Linked DNA regions of Callithrix jacchus. The protein of the gene in region 1 interacts with the protein of each later gene in a pairwise test. Links are inferred from orthologs where the notes say so. Each region holds a gene or a part of one and is shown in the gene's direction. Other genes may lie near its edges.

What was found.
Region 2: the proteins of MYO5B (region 1) and BNIP2 interact in binary tests that used the Homo sapiens proteins (3 or more experiments, as listed by UniProt). The two-hybrid records come from large-scale screens. The link is inferred for Callithrix jacchus from reciprocal best matches to the Homo sapiens genes MYO5B and BNIP2.

Annotation. Positions count from the first base shown.
Region 1 is NC_133514.1:92,985,273-92,995,869, reverse strand, and holds part of MYO5B (unconventional myosin-Vb), read left to right. Parts: intron 1-1,467; coding exon 1,468-1,557; intron 1,558-4,138; coding exon 4,139-4,289; intron 4,290-6,022; coding exon 6,023-6,308; intron 6,309-6,931; coding exon 6,932-7,106; intron 7,107-8,707; coding exon 8,708-8,788; intron 8,789-10,597. UniProt on the Homo sapiens protein: May be involved in vesicular trafficking via its association with the CART complex. The CART complex is necessary for efficient transferrin receptor recycling but not for EGFR degradation.
Region 2 is NC_133509.1:6,428,249-6,438,845, reverse strand, and holds part of BNIP2 (BCL2/adenovirus E1B 19 kDa protein-interacting protein 2), read left to right. Parts: intron 1-719; 5' UTR 720-776; coding exon 777-826; intron 827-3,170; coding exon 3,171-3,238; intron 3,239-3,719; coding exon 3,720-3,896; intron 3,897-5,565; coding exon 5,566-5,742; intron 5,743-8,723; coding exon 8,724-8,826; intron 8,827-10,144; coding exon 10,145-10,276; intron 10,277-10,597.

The DNA of each region.
Region 1 (10,597 bases):
TATCCTGCTGCTGCCAGGGGTGTGTGGGCCTTGCCCTGGACCAAGTTTGGGGACACCCCTGGAACATGGGCCCTCTCCACCTTTCTTGAGTGCTTGCTTCCCTGGGGGATGAGACAGGGAGAGTTGTGACATCATCACCTTCCAAGGTAAGGCAGCCCACAGGACAGGGCTGCCTGCAGGCTGTTAAAGTTGCTCAGCAATGCCACCTATAGGCACAAGGCTTTTGGTGAATGTAGTGCAGCTGCCACTGAGAAACAGGCTGACCTGCAGGGAGGTGAGGCCTTTCCACTCAGGGTGAGGGCCAGGCAGTGGGAGGTGAGATTCCTGAGGGAGATGAGCCCTCAATAAGAGGGATTTCTGCCTTCTAGCAGGCCTGTGCCCGGAGTGGTACTGCTCTTAGAGACCGTCTTAGTTCTCACACACTACTGCTTCCAGGATACAAGCCATTCTCAAAAGCTCTGAGTCCAGACCAATTCTGGGGTCCACTGAGCTGCTGGTTGCTACTCTGAGAATTCCAGAGCCAGCCTTTAAGTCTGGTTTCCTGCCCTCAGTAGCTGCATTGTCCACAGGCAATCTTATCCACTCATGGCCCTAAAGCATACATCTCTATGCTAGTGGCTCTCAGGTTTGTGTCTCCAGCCTTGACCCTCTTTCATGAGTACCATCTGGCTGGAATCTTGGGCCAGTCTAGGCCAGTTTAAGGCTGACACAAATGTCACTTCCTTAGGAAAGCCTTCCCTAATTCCAAGCTAAAAGAGCATGTCCCAGTCCCACCAGTCACTTTCTATTCAACCTCATTATTATTTTGTCGTCGTTGTTGTACCTCACACCATTCTGACATTTAAATAATGACACTTATTTGACAGAATGAGCTGCATGAGGTCATCAGTGCTAATGCAGCAGCTGTCTCATAGCTGTTTGGGTTGCTGAACAGGCTTTTTCACCTAGTTAGGGTTTGTAGCCTTTTCCTAGAGAGTTAAAGCATGACACAACTGTCCTCTAGATAATGGGACACCAAAATATTTTGTTGGCATGCTCTTTTAGAATCCCTTGTATCGAGTAACCAGCAGTTTAGAAACAGAGCCAGCTAGCCCAGGCAGTTAGACGAGAGCCCAGGGCTGCTGGGGCTGAGCCTCATCTGTCACTCAGCTTTGCATTCATTCTTCAGCCATGGAAGGTGGCCTGTCCTTTCTGTGTGTCAATGATACAATTTTGAAGGACAGCTGTATGTGCACCACTGATCAGGGGACCAAGACAGGGGTTCTGTGTACATGCTTGTTGGCAGAGGATTAGTCACACAGCCTCTCAGCAATGGGTCTCATTCCCGTGACTGGCAAGTGCCCTGCCCACCCTCAGGGCTGCTCAGGAATGCTGGATAAGAGTAGGAAATGTGGGGAGAGAGGTACCGAGGAAGCATCTCACCAGACGGGAGCCACTTAAGCTGGGGATGTCCTTTTCTTTTCACAGAAGCACAATGATGACTTTGAGATGACATCATTCTGGTTATCCAACACCTGCCGCCTTCTTCACTGTCTGAAGCAGTACAGCGGGGATGAGGTGAGTGGGGAGCTGGCCACCCAGGAGGCGTCCCTTCTTCATTCAAATGCGGTTGAGAAGTGCTTTGTATCCCCTCAGGAGAGGTCAGTTGGGTCTTCGGAGCACCCTTGGGGACCTCAGACCATGGGCACACCTTATCATACCTGGTGGCTGGAAGCAGGAATAAAGCCAGCCACAGGAGACCTGCCTCCAGGAGACCTTGATGAGCCCAAGGGGCCTCAGAAATTACTCCTGGGTTATGTAAGTAGGGTCTTCATAACCCATCATCCATAGAGGCCCTGGGAGTCTCCATGAAAACCTTGTAACCTTCTATTTCTTAAGCAGCTCTAGAAGAGCCCCACTGCAATGGATACTGGCAGGAAGCTCAGTTGCTTAGTGGGTCACCTGTCTCCTAAGCCATCCAAATTATCTGTCCATTTCAAGATAGACAAAGATGGCCGCAAGAAAAGAGGCACCCATAATCAGAACTACATGTGTACAAACTAGCCTGGAGGCCCAGCTCCATGCCTTCATCCAAATTGGATTCCTTGACCTGAGGCCCAACTGACCCCATCACTTCACATTCCACACTGAACCTGTAAGGCCCAGCTTTTTCTGGAACTCACATTCCCAGCTTTGGTCCCTGAAAGAACTTCTCCAGTGCTCTGCACTCTGCCCAATGACTTAGTAATACGTGACTTGTTTCCATTCTTGTTTCTCTGGTGAGAATCCCAAGTCGTTCCAGACATGCTCACTCACAGATTCCTGTAGGTCTTCCTGATATTTCCTCCGCTTCCTTTCACATATCCCACCATCTACCCTTCCCCAGGTCAAGGCATAGTGTAAACCAAAATAGTGTGACCATTTTTAAAGCTTTATTCCATCTTTTGGAATAAAGAACCAATTTTGACAGACCCTTCTCCCTGGATTATAACAGGATGTGCCTTTCCATTCAGTGTTACCTTCTTTTTTTATTATTATTTTTTTATTGCATTTTAGGTTTTGGGGTACATGTGAAGAACATGCAAGATAGTTGCATAGGTACACACGTGGCAGTGTGATTTGCTGCCTTCCTCCCCTTCACCTATATCTGGCATTTCTCCCCATTCTATCCCTCCCCAACTCCCCAAACCCCGCTGTCCCTCTCCTATTCCCCCCAACAGACCCCAGTGTGTAGTGCTCCCCTCCCTGTGTCCATGTGTTCTCATTGTTCAACACCCGCCCATGAGTGAGAACATGCGGTATTTCATTTTCTGTTCTTGTGTCAGTTTGCTGAGAATGATGTTCTCCAGGTTCATCCATGTCCCTACAAAGGACATAAACTCATCATTTTTGATTGCTGCATAATATTCCATGGTGTATATGTGCCACATTTTTCCTGTCCAGCCTATCATCTATGGGCATTTGGGTTTATTCCAGGTCCTTGCTATTGTAAACAGTGCTGCAGTGAACATTTGTGTGCATGTGTCCTTATAGTAGAACCTTCTTTGTGGTTGGCTTGACTCCATATCTCTCCTAGGAATAAGAACTGCATTTGATGGCCTGCTTTTATTCTAAAAGAGATGGGCAAAAGGTTGAAGAAACAGCCATTTCAAACCACATGCCTTCTGTTACAAAATCATAATATCCAAGCATTTACTTGAAGCATAGAACTACATGTAATGTTATTTCATTGAGGTCCATCACTTTACCCAATGTTCTATACATTCTAAATAAGGCTAGGGCAGGGCCTAGAACTCTATTACATTGGGCTATTGCTTCAGGTGCTTATATTCTCTGGGGCAAGACCTGAACCACAGCATAACCAGATCCGTGTAGTCCACAAACAAGGAAGAATGAACAAATCTATCTCCGTGATTACAGTTATCCCCTCTTCTGCCTGGTTTTGTTCATATTAAGATGGTTTTGTATTTGACACAGTACAACTGGCCTTGCTGAAGATGGTCACACTTTTGGGAGCACTAATCTTTTTGGCTGCTCTTGGTTTCTCCCTTGCCCTGTCTGAAAAGGACATTGGTCACATGCGTCCTTCTGATATCAGCAGTTCTCTTAACTTACATGTTATTTCATCTGATTAATATGGAAAGCTAAGAGGACACACTGCTGTAGCTATGAAATCAATTTAGTTCATCTGTTCATTCTGATACCCAGTGATAGAATCTGTAAAAGATGTCCCCCTACACAAACATACCATCTGGCCCATGGCCACACTCCTTTAGAGGCTGCATCTCATGTAACACTTTAGGGGGACCTGGTATATTGGGGAGAGCACTGGACGAAGTTAGAGAGCAGGGATCCCTTTCTCTGGACCTGGTACCAACCTGGGTTTTGTTACCATAGGGAAATCACTTCACTTCAGGGATTTGGACTGAATGATTCAGGCCTTCTCTCTCATTTGAGTTTTTCTACTACCTTGAAGTTCAAGGGTCATCAGTGAGGCCTCAGAGAACTGACAGGGTTTTGTAAAACATCAACTACATAGAAAGGACATTGGTAGGTCCCCCGCCCACCAAATAGATGACTAAAGTGACCAGAGCCCCGGAAGTGGTGCTGGGCCTAGCAGACCACAGAATCTCAGTAGTGCACGCCTCTCCCTCTGCAGGGCTTCATGACTCAGAACACTGCAAAGCAGAACGAACACTGTCTTAAGAACTTTGACCTCACTGAATACCGTCAGGTGCTGAGTGACCTTTCCATTCAGATCTACCAGCAGCTCATTAAAATTGCCGAGGGCGTGTTACAGCCGATGATAGGTAAGCTGGCAGCAGGAGAGCTCCATCACTCATCATGGGGTCTGAAATGAGAGGAAGATGTGGTCAGCACCCTCTGCCTTTCGGGAACCAGATGTATTAAACACAGAACCTTCACAGTGAAGGCAGAACTGAGGGGTGCACATCGTGCTTAAAAGAGCTGTGAAATCCCATGAAATTAACGATGCTAGGGTATTTGACACAGGGAAAGAGGCATAGAGGACTTTCCCTTTATCTCTCTTTTTGTAATATATTGTATTTTTCCATATTAATTTTAATACATAATAAATATAAACTCAAAGGTACAAATGCATATACAGTGGAAAACTCCTCTTAACCTATTACGAACTTGATTCATGGAAAAAAGAAAGCAGAAGTGTGTTCATGCAAAAGGACACAGCAGTAGGCACGATGCAGCAGTATTTATTAGACACGTGCTTTGAACCAAGCAGTGTGTTTGGGCACTGAACATGAAATAAGAATCAAAAAATGAGAGCAGTTACATTTTCTGCTGTTCCCAGGTTCAAGCGATTCTCCTGTCTCAGCCTCCCGGAGTAGTGAGGACTACAGGCACACACCACCATGCCCGGCTAATTTTTGTATTTTCACAAAATGTTGTGTAGATGCGTTATTCACTGTGCTCTTCAAAGGCTGGGAAGGAAACTGCTTCCCCAGGTTCTCACAGCACAAGTAGGTTATGGGTGAATCTCAAGAAGGACAGATCTAGAAATACATTACTTGAAATGAGGTTTATTCCAAACCCTCCTTCCTGTAAATCTTTTTATAAGGTACCAGACAGAGGGAGAACTGACATATCAACCTGGAGATACTCAGATTAATGTGACGGTTAATAGCACCAGTTCTGGAGTCAGACAGACTTGGGTTTAAATCCTAGCCCTGCCACTCCTCATCAGTGTGTCTTATCTGAGTGCCTAACTCAGGCAAGTTATTTAACGTCTTTATGCCTCAACTGCCTTGTAAAAATGGGTAGTACTGCCGGGTGTGGTGGCTCACACCTGTAATCCTAGCACTTTGGGAAGCCAAGGCAGGTAGATCACGAGGTCAGGAGGTTGAGACCAGCCTGGCCAACATAGTGAAACCCCATCTCTACTAAAAATACAAAAATTAGCTGGGCATGGTGGCGTGTGCCTGTAGTCCCAGCTACTCAGGGAGGCTGAGGCAGGAGAATCGCATGAACCCGGGAGGCAAAAGTTGCAGTGAGCCAAGATTGCGCCACTGCACTCCAGCTTGGGCAACAGAGTGAAATTTCATCTCCAAAAAAAAAAAAAAAGAGTAGTACTTCATAGAGTTGTTGGAAGATTAAAAGAGATACTGAACATAAAGCCCCTAGTGGTCTGTCAGTAGGTATGACAGACCAATGATGTTCATATTTACTTAGTCAGTGGCGGGGCCAGGGCGACTCCCAAGTTGCTCAATTCTCAAACTGTGGACTTTAGCACAGGCAATACTGGATCGAGCTGGTACATGCCCATCATCTTTGTCTCATCGCCGATAAATTTAAGTGAAAATGCTGTCCACAGTTGTTTTATTCCATATAGAAGTCAACACATTAGAAGTTCTTTGCCAAATGTTAAAAGTTCCTGAACGGGTCAACATTGCACAGCTCTAGATGGTATCACTGCTAAAGCCCCGAACATTAAATTATCTGAGTGGTCCAATGAGCTTTGCATTGTTCATGAGGAATGCAAGCTTCCCTAATTGTGCTTTTCTTTCAGTTTCTGCCATGTTGGAAAATGAGAGCATTCAGGGTCTATCTGGTGTGAAGCCCACTGGCTACCGGAAGCGCTCTTCCAGCATGGCAGATGGAGATAACTCATACTGCCTGGAAGCCATCATCCGCCAGATGAATGCCTTTCATACAGTCATGTGTGACCAGGGCTTGGACCCTGAGATCATCCTGCAGGTATTCAAACAGCTCTTCTACATGATCAATGCAGTGACTCTTAACAACCTGCTCCTACGGAAGGATGTCTGCTCTTGGAGCACAGGCATGCAACTCAGGTAAGAGAGGAGCACCCCAACAACACAGATAGAGTGGGTGCTCACTGACTCCAGCTAGAATCAGGACACAAGACTGCTGTTTCTAAAAATGAAATCCAAATCTAAGTGGCAATTCTTGTCTCCATCAGTCTGTGACTCAGGTCCATCACCTTTTTATCTGTTGGTGAAATCCATCAAACACTGAGATGGTGACTTGGTAAATAAATTAGTTCAAAGCTTAAAGATATTGACATACTCTAAGTTAAAGACTAAATACAAAGCAGATAGGTCAGAGAGAAAACTCAATGAGTTAACAGGCGTGAAGACTCACACAGAAGTATAAATACGGGGATGAATGTTTAAATACTTACAATTCAGTATATTTAATGCCTGTTTTTCACCACTAACTTATGTAGACACTTCAGGCATTTCATCTTTGCTTGATTTTATGTACCACTCATTCATTTATTCATTCTTTATTCAACAAATAGTTCCCTGAGTGCAAGGCATTTGCCATGCTTTTTAACCATGTGAGATCCATAATGACACTAGCTGCAGCTTACATGTAAAACACAACAGGTGTCCCCTTCTTGGTGAATTAGGAGGACCAGCTTAACACAGCTTGCTTTCTGCCTATGGCTAAGGTACAATATAAGTCAGCTTGAGGAGTGGCTTCGGGGAAGAAACCTTCACCAGAGTGGAGCAGTTCAGACCATGGAACCTCTGATCCAAGCAGCCCAGCTCCTCCAATTAAAGAAGAAAACCCAGGAGGATGCAGAGGCCATCTGTTCCCTGTGTACCTCCCTCAGCACCCAGCAGGTCCGATCATTCTGCATCTCTGTCAACCGCGATATTCCAAGCAAGCCCAGTGTCCATTCCAAATCCGTTCTTGTTAGTGGTTATTTGTTAGTGTGGTACTCCCACCCTTTATATACCCCTAATGATACAATTTTGAAGTGCAGCTGATGGGATATTCCTAGGTGAACCAAAGGCCATTTGTGTGTGAAACAAGATGCCATGAATACTGCTTTCTAGTCTCCCTATCCCTCTTACTCACTTTAAAAGATAAGACAGCAAACCCGCAAAACATTAAGCTTAGGTAAAAACTTTTTAAAATATAATGAATTCTGGAATATTTCTTATGTAGAAATTTATAAATTTTCAGAAATTGGCAGCATCCGGTATTTGCTTTCTTTACAACTATAATTGTAAGAAAAACCGGTTTATTTAAAACTAATTTCAATATGGTCACATTTCCACTCACACTCCATTTATATTGTTTTAAATGAAGTCATTAAGAACCTAGGGGCATTCAAATGTTACTTTCCTTATCCCTAAAAAATGTGTAACTATGAGTCAGTTGCAGATTTATCGCTAGTCCCTAAAAGATAAATAACAAAATCCAAACTCAGTACAGAAAAGTAAACACATCTTAATATACAAAGTTAACTTTTCCTTACCTCCTCCACTAGCTACTAAAAGATTAAATATTGAACTCTTAAGAAAACTGCCTCCTTTTGTACACATTTACAGAAAGTCTTCAAACATTTTTCTCCTTTTCTTTTTTTTTTTTTTTTTTTGAGACAGAGTTTCATTCTTGTTGGGACTGGAGTGCAATGGCACAATCTCAGCTTACTGCAATCTCCGCCTCCCGGATTCAAGCGATTCTCCTGCCTCAGCCTCCTAAGTAGCTGGGATTACAGGCACCTGCCACCATACCCAGCTAATTTTTTTTTTTTTTTTTAGTAGAGACGGGGTTTTGCCATGTTGGCTAGGTTGGTTTTGAACTCCTGACCTCAGGTGATCCACCCACCTCGAACTCCCAAAGTGCTGGGATTACAGATGTGAGCCACCACACCCGGCCACATTTTTTTCCCTTTTATATACATTTCACTTATATAAGTTTGCTTCTAGAATGTAGCCAGCATTGCATTTGGGCAGCCTACTTCCACCAAACCATTAGTAGGCAGACAAAAGAGTATCTCCTGTTCAAATTCTCATTTGTAAACAATTTTAGGAGATGGGGTAGTTAGGTGTTAACAAGACCTTTCTCATCTAAGGTAAGATCTACAGTACTCTTCAGAAGAAACCTTTAAATTACTAGTAGATAACAGGCTGAGTATTTCAGGCAACCGCATTCTAAACGCCTCCCATTGTGTATACCAGTGACCATAGTGAGAAGGGGCAGGTGGCTTTACAAGAGACATGAGTTCCGTGAGAGGGCTCAGATCCACCTGGCAAAGCTGTGGGCTCTAGTTACCTGGATGCAGGCTCCAAGTGTGAAGGTCAGTCCAGCTCTGTCTGTGTTGTGAGCCTTGTCTAAAGAGGATCATACTCTTGTCCCAATGTCCCATATTAAAGTTCAAAAGTTGTCTCATGTTCATTTAGTGCTGTGCTAAATTCTGTTTTTACCCCAATAGATTGTCAAAATTTTAAACCTTTACACTCCCCTGAATGAATTTGAAGAACGGGTAACAGTGGCCTTTATACGAACGATCCAGGTGAGTTTTAAAATGTTAATTTTATAAAGTCCTAGTCTAAGACTGTAAAGAAGTTGAAAATTTGGATTTCAACCTTGCTTCTCTTTATTACTAAAATACTAGTTACATTATATGCTAGGAGACTTTATATTCCTAAGCTTTCTATTTAGGTAAACATGAACCATATCACCCATGAGTAACTTAGTATTTACACACAGAAAACTCAACTTTTATCATCTCTGCCTCTCAGATTATAGACACAGTCTAAGCATAATTTACCACTAGCATGTTACTGAACTATTAGCACCAAATGGAATTAACAACGTAAGCAGAATATCAGCCCTAACCATAAATGGAACTAAGAAATGTTCTTTAAATAAAACAATTTGAGCTCTTAAATCTTTGTCTAAGACATGATATTTGCTTTCAGGAAAATGCTTGAAAGAAAACATATTAGGGAAAACAGTTATTTAAATCTGTCTGTTCTTAAGACGTTGGGAATTTTTTACTTAAAGTTGAGCTTCCTCAAGCTGAGCCTAAGGTGATTTTGGCTGAGTGCCTGGCCTTTACTGTGACAGTGTTGCAGTGATAGTCACGTCTCAGTCACGTCTCAGTGATAGTCACGACTCAGAAAACAGGGCACACTTCTCCCGGGATTACCTATGGGAGCACCTCGGGAGTAGAGCACTTTCTCAAACTTTTAAATGACCTCAGAAACAAGGACTAAAAAGGGGTGCAGGGGGAAGTGAGCAGAGGAGGGAGAGTCAGGGAAGAGGGAACCAAATGGAGGTTTATGAAAGACACCTCATGGAGCTTTGTACAAGAAGCTGCTCCCTTTGGAATACTCCTGGGATTTTATTCGGAGCTCCTTATAGTGTTTCAATGTAGATCCAGAGATTTAGGGAGCCCTGAAAACAACTGAAAAGGAGTCTGAAAGGAGCCATGGCCAAAACCTAAATGAACTTTAGCCTGGCATCTAAGCAGGGAAAAGAGACCAAAGGTCTGGGAACCGGTGGCTAGTCAGACTAAAGGTTGTTCTCCTAAGGGCAATGAGAGAAACACTGCCAGTTTTTAAAGACACAGGCCACAGAGTGAGGCAGGCAGAGACTCGCCAACATGAACATAACAGCTAGGTTGTGGGTGGCGCTGACAGAAAGGACCCAGTTAGGCTGCTGTCAGTCAGCTGCTGAATGACAAGAGGTGGATGACAGAAGCCACTGAGATACCTGACCCTGGACCCGCTATATGGATTTTTATAGAGGGTTGATAATTTACAGAAAAGTGTAGGTTTAGGAAGTCTTGTTTGGTTTTGAATATCTGAGACACATATTAGAGGGAGAACTATAACTGCTCCTAAATTGGCAACCCCACTGTTTATGAGAATTCAGGTCACAGAATATATGGCAAGTCATACTGCAGGTTTAATGGATTAAGGGCAAAGGAAGAATGTAATGGAGGTTAAGTTCAAATATTCTCTGAAAATACACACAGATGCTGAATCTTCCTCAGTCAACATTGTGGTATCTCGCAGTTCTATCAAAATATTTTTTGTGTGAGCTATAGCTTTATATTCTGTTTCTACCTATACAATGCTCAGAAGAAATGGTGAACAATCAGTCCCACCCTCCCACATGTGAACTCACGTGTGTGATAAAGACGAGTTACTTGTTAAAGCAAACCTTGCTTGGGGTGATGGATTTTTTTTATAGCTTCATACTGACCTTTAAAAATGTAAATTGGAAGTTGTTAACCTCACCAAAGCATTCACGGGAGGATTTCTGTGAAATGACCACCTTGTAAATTTTAATTGATTAAATGTATACATGCCTT
Region 2 (10,597 bases), on another chromosome or scaffold:
CTGCCGAGTCATGAGTTTAAGTATTATTTATTTACTGTTGTTTACTCTCTAGATTCAACCTCTATCCAAGGGACAGAAAGTTTTATTATGAATCTGTAATAAAGAACATTTTTATTTTTCTTGTTTTTTGTTTTTTGAGCCGGAGTTTCGCTCTTGTTACCCAGGCGGGAGTGCAATGGCATGATCTCGGCTCACCGCAACCTCCGCCTCCTGGGTTCAGGCAATTCTCCTGCCTAAGCCTCCCGAGTAGCTGGGATTACAGGCACGCGCCACCATGTCCAGCTAATTTTTTGTATTTTTAGTAGAGACGGGGTTTCACCATGTTGACCAGGATGGTCTCGATCTCTTGACCTTGTGATCCACCCCCCTCAGCCTCCCAAAGTGCTGCGAAGAACATTTTTATTTCTTACCCAACTTCAAATTTTTAATATAATCCATAGTATGAAATATATTTTAATTCATAGCCTGAGACACTATACATGCAACTGAAAACAAGTATTTTGACTGAACAGTATCCTTACTGTAAACAGTACTTTACCAGAGTACATATAGTCTGAATAGCCTCTAACTAAAAAAAAAATTGCAACCTGGTAAATGAATTTCATGACCAGACTACTATACTAAGCATCAGGTATGGACTAAGATATAAAGTTATTACACCTTTTCATTGGATAAAAAGTAAAGTGGAAATTAAGTTATACATTTTTCTCTCTTCATAGGACATTGGCCCTCTGGATTATCAAGAGTTTGTAGCTGACATTGAATCCAGGCTGAGGATGGAAGGTGTGGAACTTAAAGAAGAATGGCAAGATGAAGATTTTCCAATGTGAGCAGCGCTTTTAAATGAAAACAACTTTAGAACAAAACTTCCAAAGTTCTTTATTGAGATATCACTTTTTTGTTTTTTTTTTTTTGAGACAGAGTCTCACTCTGTCGTCCAGGTTGGAGTGCAGTATTGCAATCTCAGCTCTCTGCAACATCCGCCTCCTGGGTTCAAGCAGTTCTCCTGCCTCAGCCTTCCGAGTATCTGGGACTACAGGCATGTGCCACCATGCCCAGCTAATTTTTGTGTTTTTAGTAGAGACTGGGTTTCACCATATTGGCCAGGCTGTTCTCGAACTCCTGACCTCGTGATCCACCCACCTGGGCTTCCAAAAGTGGTAGGATTACAGGCGTGAACTACCATGCCCCTCCGAGATATCACTTTTTAGGTGAATATTTGGCTTCTTAAACTCAGTAATCCAAGGTGATCCTGTGATTCTAGGAAGGAGAAGTTTCTTTTCAACAGTTAGATGGACTCTCTTGTATCTTACTTTCCAACCAAACATACATGTAGTCTTCTATGATCTTTCATTTTTGTTTTGATCATTCAAGTCTCCAAACGTTTGTCTCCTGCTTGTTGTTCTTGTTGAGATGGAGTCTTGCTCTGTTGCCCAGGCTGGAGTGCAGTGGCACAATCTCAACTCACTGCAACCTCCGCCTCCGAGGGACAAGCAGTTCTTCTATCTCAGCCTCCCAAGTAGCTGGGATTACAGGCATGTGCCAGCACACCTAATTTTTTTTTTTTTTGTATTTTTAGTAGAGATGGGTTTTACAATATTGGCCAGCCTGGTCTTGAGCTCCTGACCTCGTGATTCACCCACTTTGGCCTTGCAAAGTGCTGGGATAACAGGCGTGAGCCACTACACGTGGCCCGTTTTTTTCTCTTTAAACTAAGTCTGAGGGATTCCTCAGAGAAGGCGGTCTTTAGTTGTCTTTAAAATTTTTCTTTAATTTTATGACCAGGTGCAGTGGCTCACATCTGTAATCCCAAGACTTTGGGAGGCTGAGGTGGGCAGATCACTTAGGGCCGGGAGTTTGAGGCCAACCTGGCCAACGTGGCAAAGCGCCATCTCTACTAAAAATACAAAAAATTAGCTAAGTGTGGTGGCATGCACTTGTAGTCCCAGCTGCTTAGAAGCCAGACGCATGAGAATTGCCTGAACCCGGGAGCCAGAGGTTGCAGTGAGGTGAGATCGTGCCATTGCACTCGAGCCTGGGTGACACAGCCAGGCTCTGACTCAAAAATAATAATAATTTTGTGGGATCCCCTCCCCCCGCCAGAAAAGCCTTACTAAGTAAATTAATAAGGGTTTTCTACCTCATCTGGCCAGCCACCTTGACATGTTGCATTCGTGTTTACAATTGTATTGGCACCAGGTAGGCTAATGAAAAGAGGCAAAGGCAGACTTATAATGAAATAGTGCTTCCATGCATAGTGGCCAGAAGATATCCTAGTCCATAATCAGGTGCCTTAGCAGTTGGAAGTTGGACAGCTGAGAGGAGACCTGAGTCTCTGTTGCACGTGGTGGTGATAGTAACATAGGAACGCTGATCTCAGAAGAAATGAACCATTGTTACTGAGTCTCTTGAGTCAAACTTGAGCTTCATACATTGCATCATATGTCGCATTATATTTGCGCGTTTCAGTTACAGTTGTTTAAAATTTTTACGTTTTATAATTCTATAATACCTACACGTGAGGTATTTATATCTGTTTTTGTGTTACTTATATGTAATAAGTGAGCTCTGACAGTCTGAGAATTTTTAAGGCGTAACCAAGCATAGCAGCTCATGCCTATAATCCCAGTGCTTTGGGAGGCCAAGGCAGAAGGATCACTTGAGACCAGCCTGGGCAATATAGCAATCAATACCTGGTCTCTACAAAAAAACCCTAAAAATTAGCCGGGCATGGTGGTGTGCAACTGTAGTCCTAGCTACTCATAAAGCTGAGGCTTTATCTTAAACACTGCTTAGGCTGGGCACAGTGGCTCACTCCTGTAATCCCAACATTTTTGGAAGTTGAGGCGGGAGAATCGTTTGAGCCTAAAAGGCCAGCCTGGGCAACATAGCAAGACTCTGACTCTGCTAAAAATTAGCTGTGTGTGGTGGCACGCACCTGTAGTCCCAAATAGGAGGATCTCTGGAGCCTAGGAGTTAAGGCTGAAGTGAGCCATGATTGTGCCATTGTGCTCCAGCCTAGGTGACGGAGCAAGTCCCTGTCTCAAAAACAACACCGCTTCATTCCATTTTCCACATATGTATTTCTGTAAGCTGTATGTTTAATAGATTGAACTTGAAAAAAATTCTTTCTTAATTTCTGCGTTAAAAAGTGTGCCTGTGTCTTCTAGACCTTTACCAGAAGATGATAGTACCGAAGCAGATATACTGGCTATAACTGGACCAGAGAACCAGCCTGGTAAGAGCTTAACACTTTTACTTTCAATGAAATGATGGACTTTGTGATTTTTTTTTTTAAACACATTTTTTTATCCAAAAAAAAAAAAACCAACTTGAGTTTGTATTCCATTGTAGAAGTCAATGTATAAGCTTAACATTGAGGAAAGCATTTTTAGAATGCGTTAAAAAATTAACTTCCCAAAACATATGCTTGGTTTTTGGAAAGTTTTACAGTAAACAGGTGGGAGGAGATCATTTTTATTGGTAAGAGGTCTCTATAAGGTCTGCCTCTATTTAAAAAACATTGATAATTTATTGAGCTTTTGCCAACAATGTAGAAGCAGGAGTGATCAGAATCAAAATTTTGTAAGTAGGTGCTTTGAAGTTATGTTTAATTGATACTATTTTTCCCCGAGTGGAGTAGTTAAAATGTTTCATATTCATCTTTAATATCTAAGCGTTTTTTGTTACATATCTTTTTCTTTATTTTCCAATTCCAGGTTCCCTAGAAGTCAATGAAAATAAAGTGAGAAAGAAACTAATGCCTCCAGACATTAGCCTGACACTGGATCCTAGCGATGGCTCTGTGTTGTCGGACGATTTGGATGAAAGTGGGGAGATTGAGTTAGATGGCTTAGACACACCCTCTGAGAATAGTAATGAGTTTGAGTGGGAAGGTAAATGTTTCACTGTTTTTAATCTCATCTTCATTCATGTATTCAGGGATTTTGCTTGAAGTGTGTGATTCTTTCTGAAGTTCATTTATTTGTTACTAAGATAGGAAATTCTGCTAACACTTGAATATTCTCACAGACTTTAAAACCGTATATAGTAGATGACACCAGTGGTTTCCCCCACTCTTGTTTGCCCAGTGCTGTCACATTTCTTTCATAGTTGCTTAACAAATATTGCTGATGACTATGGCATGCTGAGTTTCAGTGAATCAAGTAAGAAACTTGAAGCAACATATACTTAACAGTTTGTGGGAAGGGGGTTCTGAAAGGCATTTTGGGGGCGACTTTTTAAATAGGCTTGCCTGGTATTGTTCTACTTTGTAAAGTGACCAACTTAAATCAACGTATACTTTTAGCCCCCAGACCTGGTATTCATTGTCATTAATTATTTGTAATTCAAAGGAATTGTCCTGTGTTTTACTTTGCATGCTTTCTTTAATTAGAAAATTGTCTACATATCTTTTATATACTTGTTATAATTTTTATGTATGGTTTTTCCATCTTGAAAATGGTTTTTTTCCCAAAGTAGTGTTTGGCATTCAGTATTTTACTATAACAAAGTGTGATGTGCTGTATTTTGGATTTCTGTTTTCTTCTCTGTTTCACTGGTTCATTGAACAGTCCAGTAGTAAGCAATAGTTTATGAAGATACTGAAACCGTTTTGTGCCTGTGTGTTTTGTCTCTTCTTTCTTCAATGCTGCTGTAGTCATTTCCTGGAAGGATATTTTCCGTTAACAGCTTTGTCTTGGAAACAACTAACATGCAGTAGGTTCCCCCCTTCCCCCATCTTTTGGTAAGGACCATAATACTGAAATTTTGAAAATCATTACTAAATTAAAAATCAGCTAAGCTGCAATCTCAAAACATAAATTACACCTGATCATTCGTGCTTATGCTTTGGCCAATGCTAATTTAAATAGACTTCTGCATGTGTACCTCAGAGTATCGTAAATACATTTCTGCTTTATAAAGCTGATCAAATGAGAAGTGATCACTGCTAGTTAACCACTTCCTATCTGGTATTACAGTTAATTTGTGTGCTCAGCAACAACAACATTGGCTCCCAGATAGCTTCTTGAAGTAACCTAGAGTCATAACTGCCAGGGACAGCACTGTCACAAGTTGAATCTGGAAGGTGTCGTAAGGCCAGTGTGCTAAGATTTTGATGACTCTACGAATTAATATTTTCTGAACTTTGGATATACATTGCACTGTGATTAGGTGGTTTTTTTTGTTGAATTGGGCAATAAAAAAAGTTAAAGAACCATGATTTCCAATGATTTAAGATGGCCTCAAATTAAGAATAAGCCTTTTCCTCCATTATGAAAGAGACGTTTAAAATTGCACTCACTGGCCGTGCGTGGTGGCTCATGCCTGTAATCCAAGCACTTTGGAGGCCAAGGCGGGCGAATCACCTGAGGTTGAGAGTTCAAGACCCGCCTGACCGAAATGGTGAAACCCCATCTTTATTTAAAAAAAATATATAAAATAAAATAAAATTGTGCTCATGAATGAAAATTCTCTGAAAAACCTGGATAGTAAAGTGGTTAACGTATAATTTGATTTTTGTTGTATAACAATTTGTGATTCAAAAACTTTTTATTTTCACAGATGATCTTCCAAAACCCAAGACTACTGAAGTAATTAGGAAAGGCTCAATTACTGAATATACAGCAGCAGAGGAAAAAGAAGATGGACGACGCTGGCGTATGTTCAGGATTGGAGAGCAGGACCACAGGGTTGACATGAAAGCGATTGAACCCTATAAAAAAGTTATCAGCCATGGGGGTAAGAGTTGCTGAGGATTTCTCAGATTGCCTAATGCAATATCAGATTTCTAAATGCTTTTAGAAACTCTGCCTAGAGATATCATGTAATTTTGAAAGAATAATAAACATTTCTCATATCAGTTTAGAAACATGACAGGTTTAAAGTAGAAGAATGAAGCTACCATTTAAAATCATTATATGCATACCGTAAGTTGAAAAAGTACAAAAGAATCTGTAGGGAACACTGTCAGCTTGCACAGTGGCTCAGGCCCATAATCCCAGCAATTTGAGAGGCTGAGGCAGGAGGATTACCTGAGCTCAGGAGTTCAAGGCCAGATTGGGCAACGTAGACATGGTTGCCACAAAAAAATAAATAAATAAATAATAGCCAGAAGCAGTGGCATATGGGGTGGGAGGAGAGAGAGCTTGAGCTTGGGAAGTTGAGGCTGCAAGTGAGCCGTGATCATGCCACTGCACTCCAGTTTTTTCTTTTGTTTGTTTTGTTTTTTGACAGACCCTGTCTCAAAAAAAATTTTTTTAACTGTCATCAGGCCACCGAAAACTGGGACTGTCCTTTCTCCCTAAGTTATAAACAGTGAAGTGCTCTGATCTTAAGTGTACAGTTCAGTGAGTTTTGGCAAATACATATCCATGTATATAACCCACACCCCTAAATGTATAGAACATTTTTAGTGTCCCAGAAGAATTTTTTAATACCCCTTCCCAGTAAATACTCACTTCCAGTAGCCACTATTATACCTACCCCCAATTAGTTTCGCCTGTTCTAGAATTTCATGTATGGTAACTAAAATCATCCTATGCATTCTTTGGTCTACTTTTCAGCATGACGTTTTTGAGATTAATCCATATGATTGCACATGTCCACAGTTCATTCCTTCTTATTGCTGAGTAGTTTTCCATTGCATGGAGAAACCATAATTTGCTTATCCATTCTTTTTTTCGATGTGCATGTGAGTTGTTTCTAACTTGGGCAATTATAAACAAATGGCTTTGAACATTCTTGAAGTCTTTTTGTGGATATAAGTAAAACTTGGACTTTTAAACTTGTAACTCTTAGTTTACCTTAAAATTCTGAACAAATTATTTTTTAATAGAGAACTAGTTCACTCCACATTTTTATAGAGCACCCACTTTGCATATTTATGGGATATACAAAAATACAAGGTTTAAGTCCCTTAAGAAATAAGAAAAGCTATATAAGTTTAAGTTATAAATCCTTTCAGTCTAACAGCACCATGTATAGAAGTTTACCTAGGCGTGTTGTAAATAGTGCTGGAATGTTAGTGCCAAGTCAGAACACAACTCACTATAGAGTATGTCATACTACTTTAAATTCTCCTAACGCAGGACAGCGGGGCACATGGGTCAAGCAGATTGATTTTTTTTTTCTAAGTTATTTCCACTTAATTTACTCGCTGCCAAATGCATTCCCCTGCTTATTTCTATAGTCTTCATTCATCTGAAAAAGGAAATCACATGAATATTTGTAGTTGCATTCTTCTGCCTCATTTAGTCTTACTCAGATGAAGAAAATGGCATCATGTGGATCTGGAAGCCCACAGACACACATTATTCCGCCAGCTTATAGGAATCGAACTATAGGACCTGATTTATAGCTTGCATCTTTATCTTTCAGACATAGCACTTTTTTGTAGGGGAAGTAATCAAGGCCACCTTATCCTTTTGCATCACCACAATGTATTTTGTGACTGAGTGCTTAAGAAGGATAGCGAAGATTCTGATGTTGTTGAAATGTTCAAATCTTTTCACGTGCAAATTTGTAAACAATAGAAATGAAAGTTACAGCAGATGTGTTTGTTACTAATTATAGGCTTAATATCTGAAGACTGCAGTTGAAGCATAGACATTTTAGCACTGTTTTTTGTTACTGAAAATTATGTCAGAGATGTAATTTACTTTTTTTTTTTTTGAAACCAAGTCTTACTCTGTCACCCAGGCTGGAGTGCAGTGGTGCAGTCTCGGCTCACTGCATCCTCTGCCTCCCAAGTAGCTGGGGCTACAGTTCCACACCACCACTCCCAGCTAATTTTTTATATTTTTACTAGAGATGAGGTTTCGCCATTTTGGTCAGGCTGATCTTCAACTCCTGGCCTCAAGTGATCTGCCTTCCTCAGCTTCCCATAGTGCTTGTGTTACAAGCATGAGCCACTATGCCTGGCCTAATTTAGTTTTGATGTCCTAAATTCTATACAGTGCTAGCATTTTTAAATATAAAACTTATGTTTTAAAAATCACCCACTTATGGGTCTGGTGAGGTGGCTCATGCCCAGCGCCAAAGGAGGAGGACTGCTTAAGGCTAGGAGTTCAAGACCAATCTGAGCAACACACTGAAACTCTGTCTCTACAAAAATTTTTTAAAAAAATTAACCACGCATGTTTGTGTGCACTGTAGCCTCAGCTCCTCTGGAGGCTGTAAGGTGGGAAGATCCCTTGAGCATAGAAGTTCGAGGCTGCATGAGCTGTGATTATGCCACTGTACTCCATCCTGGCCAATAGAGCAAGACGCCTATCTCCACAATATTTTAAAATTAAAAAGTACCCACTTTAACCATAAGTGTGCATATATATGTGTGTGATGTGTGTGTGTGTGTGTGTGTGTGTATATTAAACTTTAAAATGTTGTATAGTGTTGGTATTGTATTGGGTTATATCACTGTATTTGTCTACTTGATAAAATGTGACTACGTTTTAAGTATGCTTATTTAAGTGGTCTTGGGGGTTTTTTTGTTTTTTTTTTTTTTTGTCCACTGTCCTCTTTAAATTTTACTGTTCTCTTTTGGGGAAGAAGAAATTTAAAATTCTATGTAAGACCATATAAGATTTGCAAAACATACATTTTAATTCATAAGTTTGTGAGAGGTAAACTCTTATTTATAATTTACCAATCATACAGATGTCTTCTGAAAATTCCTAAGAGTGAAATCATGCTGGTGATAGTGTGTTTGGTGTCTTTTTCAGGATATTATGGGGATGGATTAAATGCCATTGTCGTGTTTGCTGTCTGTTTCATGCCTGAAAGTAGTCAACCTAACTATAGATACCTGATGGACAATCTCTTTAAGTAAGTATATATTTAACAAAAACATTTGGACAGAATTTTGAGCTAGTTAGATCTACACCTTAAGAAACTTAAGGTGTGTAAAAATTATAAATATCCAAGTTCCTTGGGAGACTGAGGTGGGCGGATCACTTGAGTCCAGGAGTTGGAGACTAGCCTGTGCAACATAACAAAGCCCTCTCTCTACAAAAACAAAAAATTAGCCAGGCATGGCGATAAGGGCCTGTAGCCCCAGCTACTCAGGAGCCTGGCGTGGGGGATCACCTGAGCGTGTGAGGTCAAAGCTGCAGTGAACTGTGATTTTGCCACTGCAGTCTAGTCGGGGTGACAGAGTAAGACCCTCTCTCAGAAAAATAAACATCCCAGTTCTGAAAGTGTCCGAATTTTTCAAGTGCAAGTTTGTGAATGATAGAAATGAAGAGTAAAGCAAAAGTATTTGTTACTAGATACGGGACTAGATGAGTCCTTATTCTCTGACATTATGAGATAATAGTTTTCCAACTCAAGAGAAAAATTGTCATTTTAAAACTGGGAAATTGTCATATCTCCGATTTGTTGTTCCAACTTTTTTTTGTTTTGAGACGGAGTTTCACAGTGTCACCCTTCCTGGAGTTCACTGGTACAACGACGGCTCCCTGCACCCTTGACCTCACGGGCTCAAGCCATCCTCCTACCTCAGCCTCCCTAGTGGCCGGGACTACAGGCACATGTCACCACATCCACCTGACTTTTTTTATTTTTGGTAGAGACAGGATCTGACTAGGTTGCCAGGGTTGGTCTCAAACTCCAGGCTTCAAGTAAGCCACCATGCCCCACCTATCCCAGCTTTTTAATTTTACATTTGCAGGTACATTAAGTGTGAAGAAGTGATTTTTGTCTCAAAATCATGTGGCTAAATTACATTCACCCCTAGAAGGCCAGTATAACTGAGCTGAATCAGTTCTGTTTCCACAGGATCATTCTGTTTCTCGGGTTAATCCAGTTTTTAAAAACTTTATTGTGGAAAATTTTAAACATTCACAAGGGTAAAGAGAAGTAAATCAAATGTTCAACAATTATCAGTTTAAAGTTCGTTCCCACTTCTCCCCTCAGTATATACTTTTGAAGCAGATCCCAGAAGCAAATCATTTTCTTCTAAAAACATTTTCATATATATCTCTTAAAAAGTAACATTTTAAAATGATCGTAATACCAGCTAATGCAGTTTGAGCATTTTCATTGTTTGCTTTCCTTGTAGAGGAGAGAAAGAAATTGTACATGGAGACTCTAGTTCAGTTCTACACAGTGATTTTAAGGCTTAAACTTAATCTGTTTTTTACAGATATGTTATTGGCACTTTGGAGCTATTGGTAGCAGAGAACTACATGATCGTTTATTTAAATGGTGCGACAACTCGAAGAAAAATGCCCAGTCTGGGGTGGCTCAGGAAATGTTATCAGCAAATCGATAGAAGGTAATACAAACACAAGTTAAAAGCTAGTCTGGAAAGTTTTTATAATGGCTTTAGTAGATCAAACTTTGTTTTCTGTTGCTATTTAAAAACATTTATTTTTAAAATTTCATTTATTAATTTCATGAGAGGTTTCTGTTTTCTGAAGATAGCATTTTAGAACGTTACGAGGGAAATCAATTTTGATTTTTCTGTAAAGAATAACCTTAATTCGTAAAGTAGCTCCACATTTCTCCTCGTTTATAAGGAGACATTTTCTCCACATTGAACACTTTTCTACTGTTTACATCTTGGGAAAGGATGGAGAATGTCATATGTTTCCTA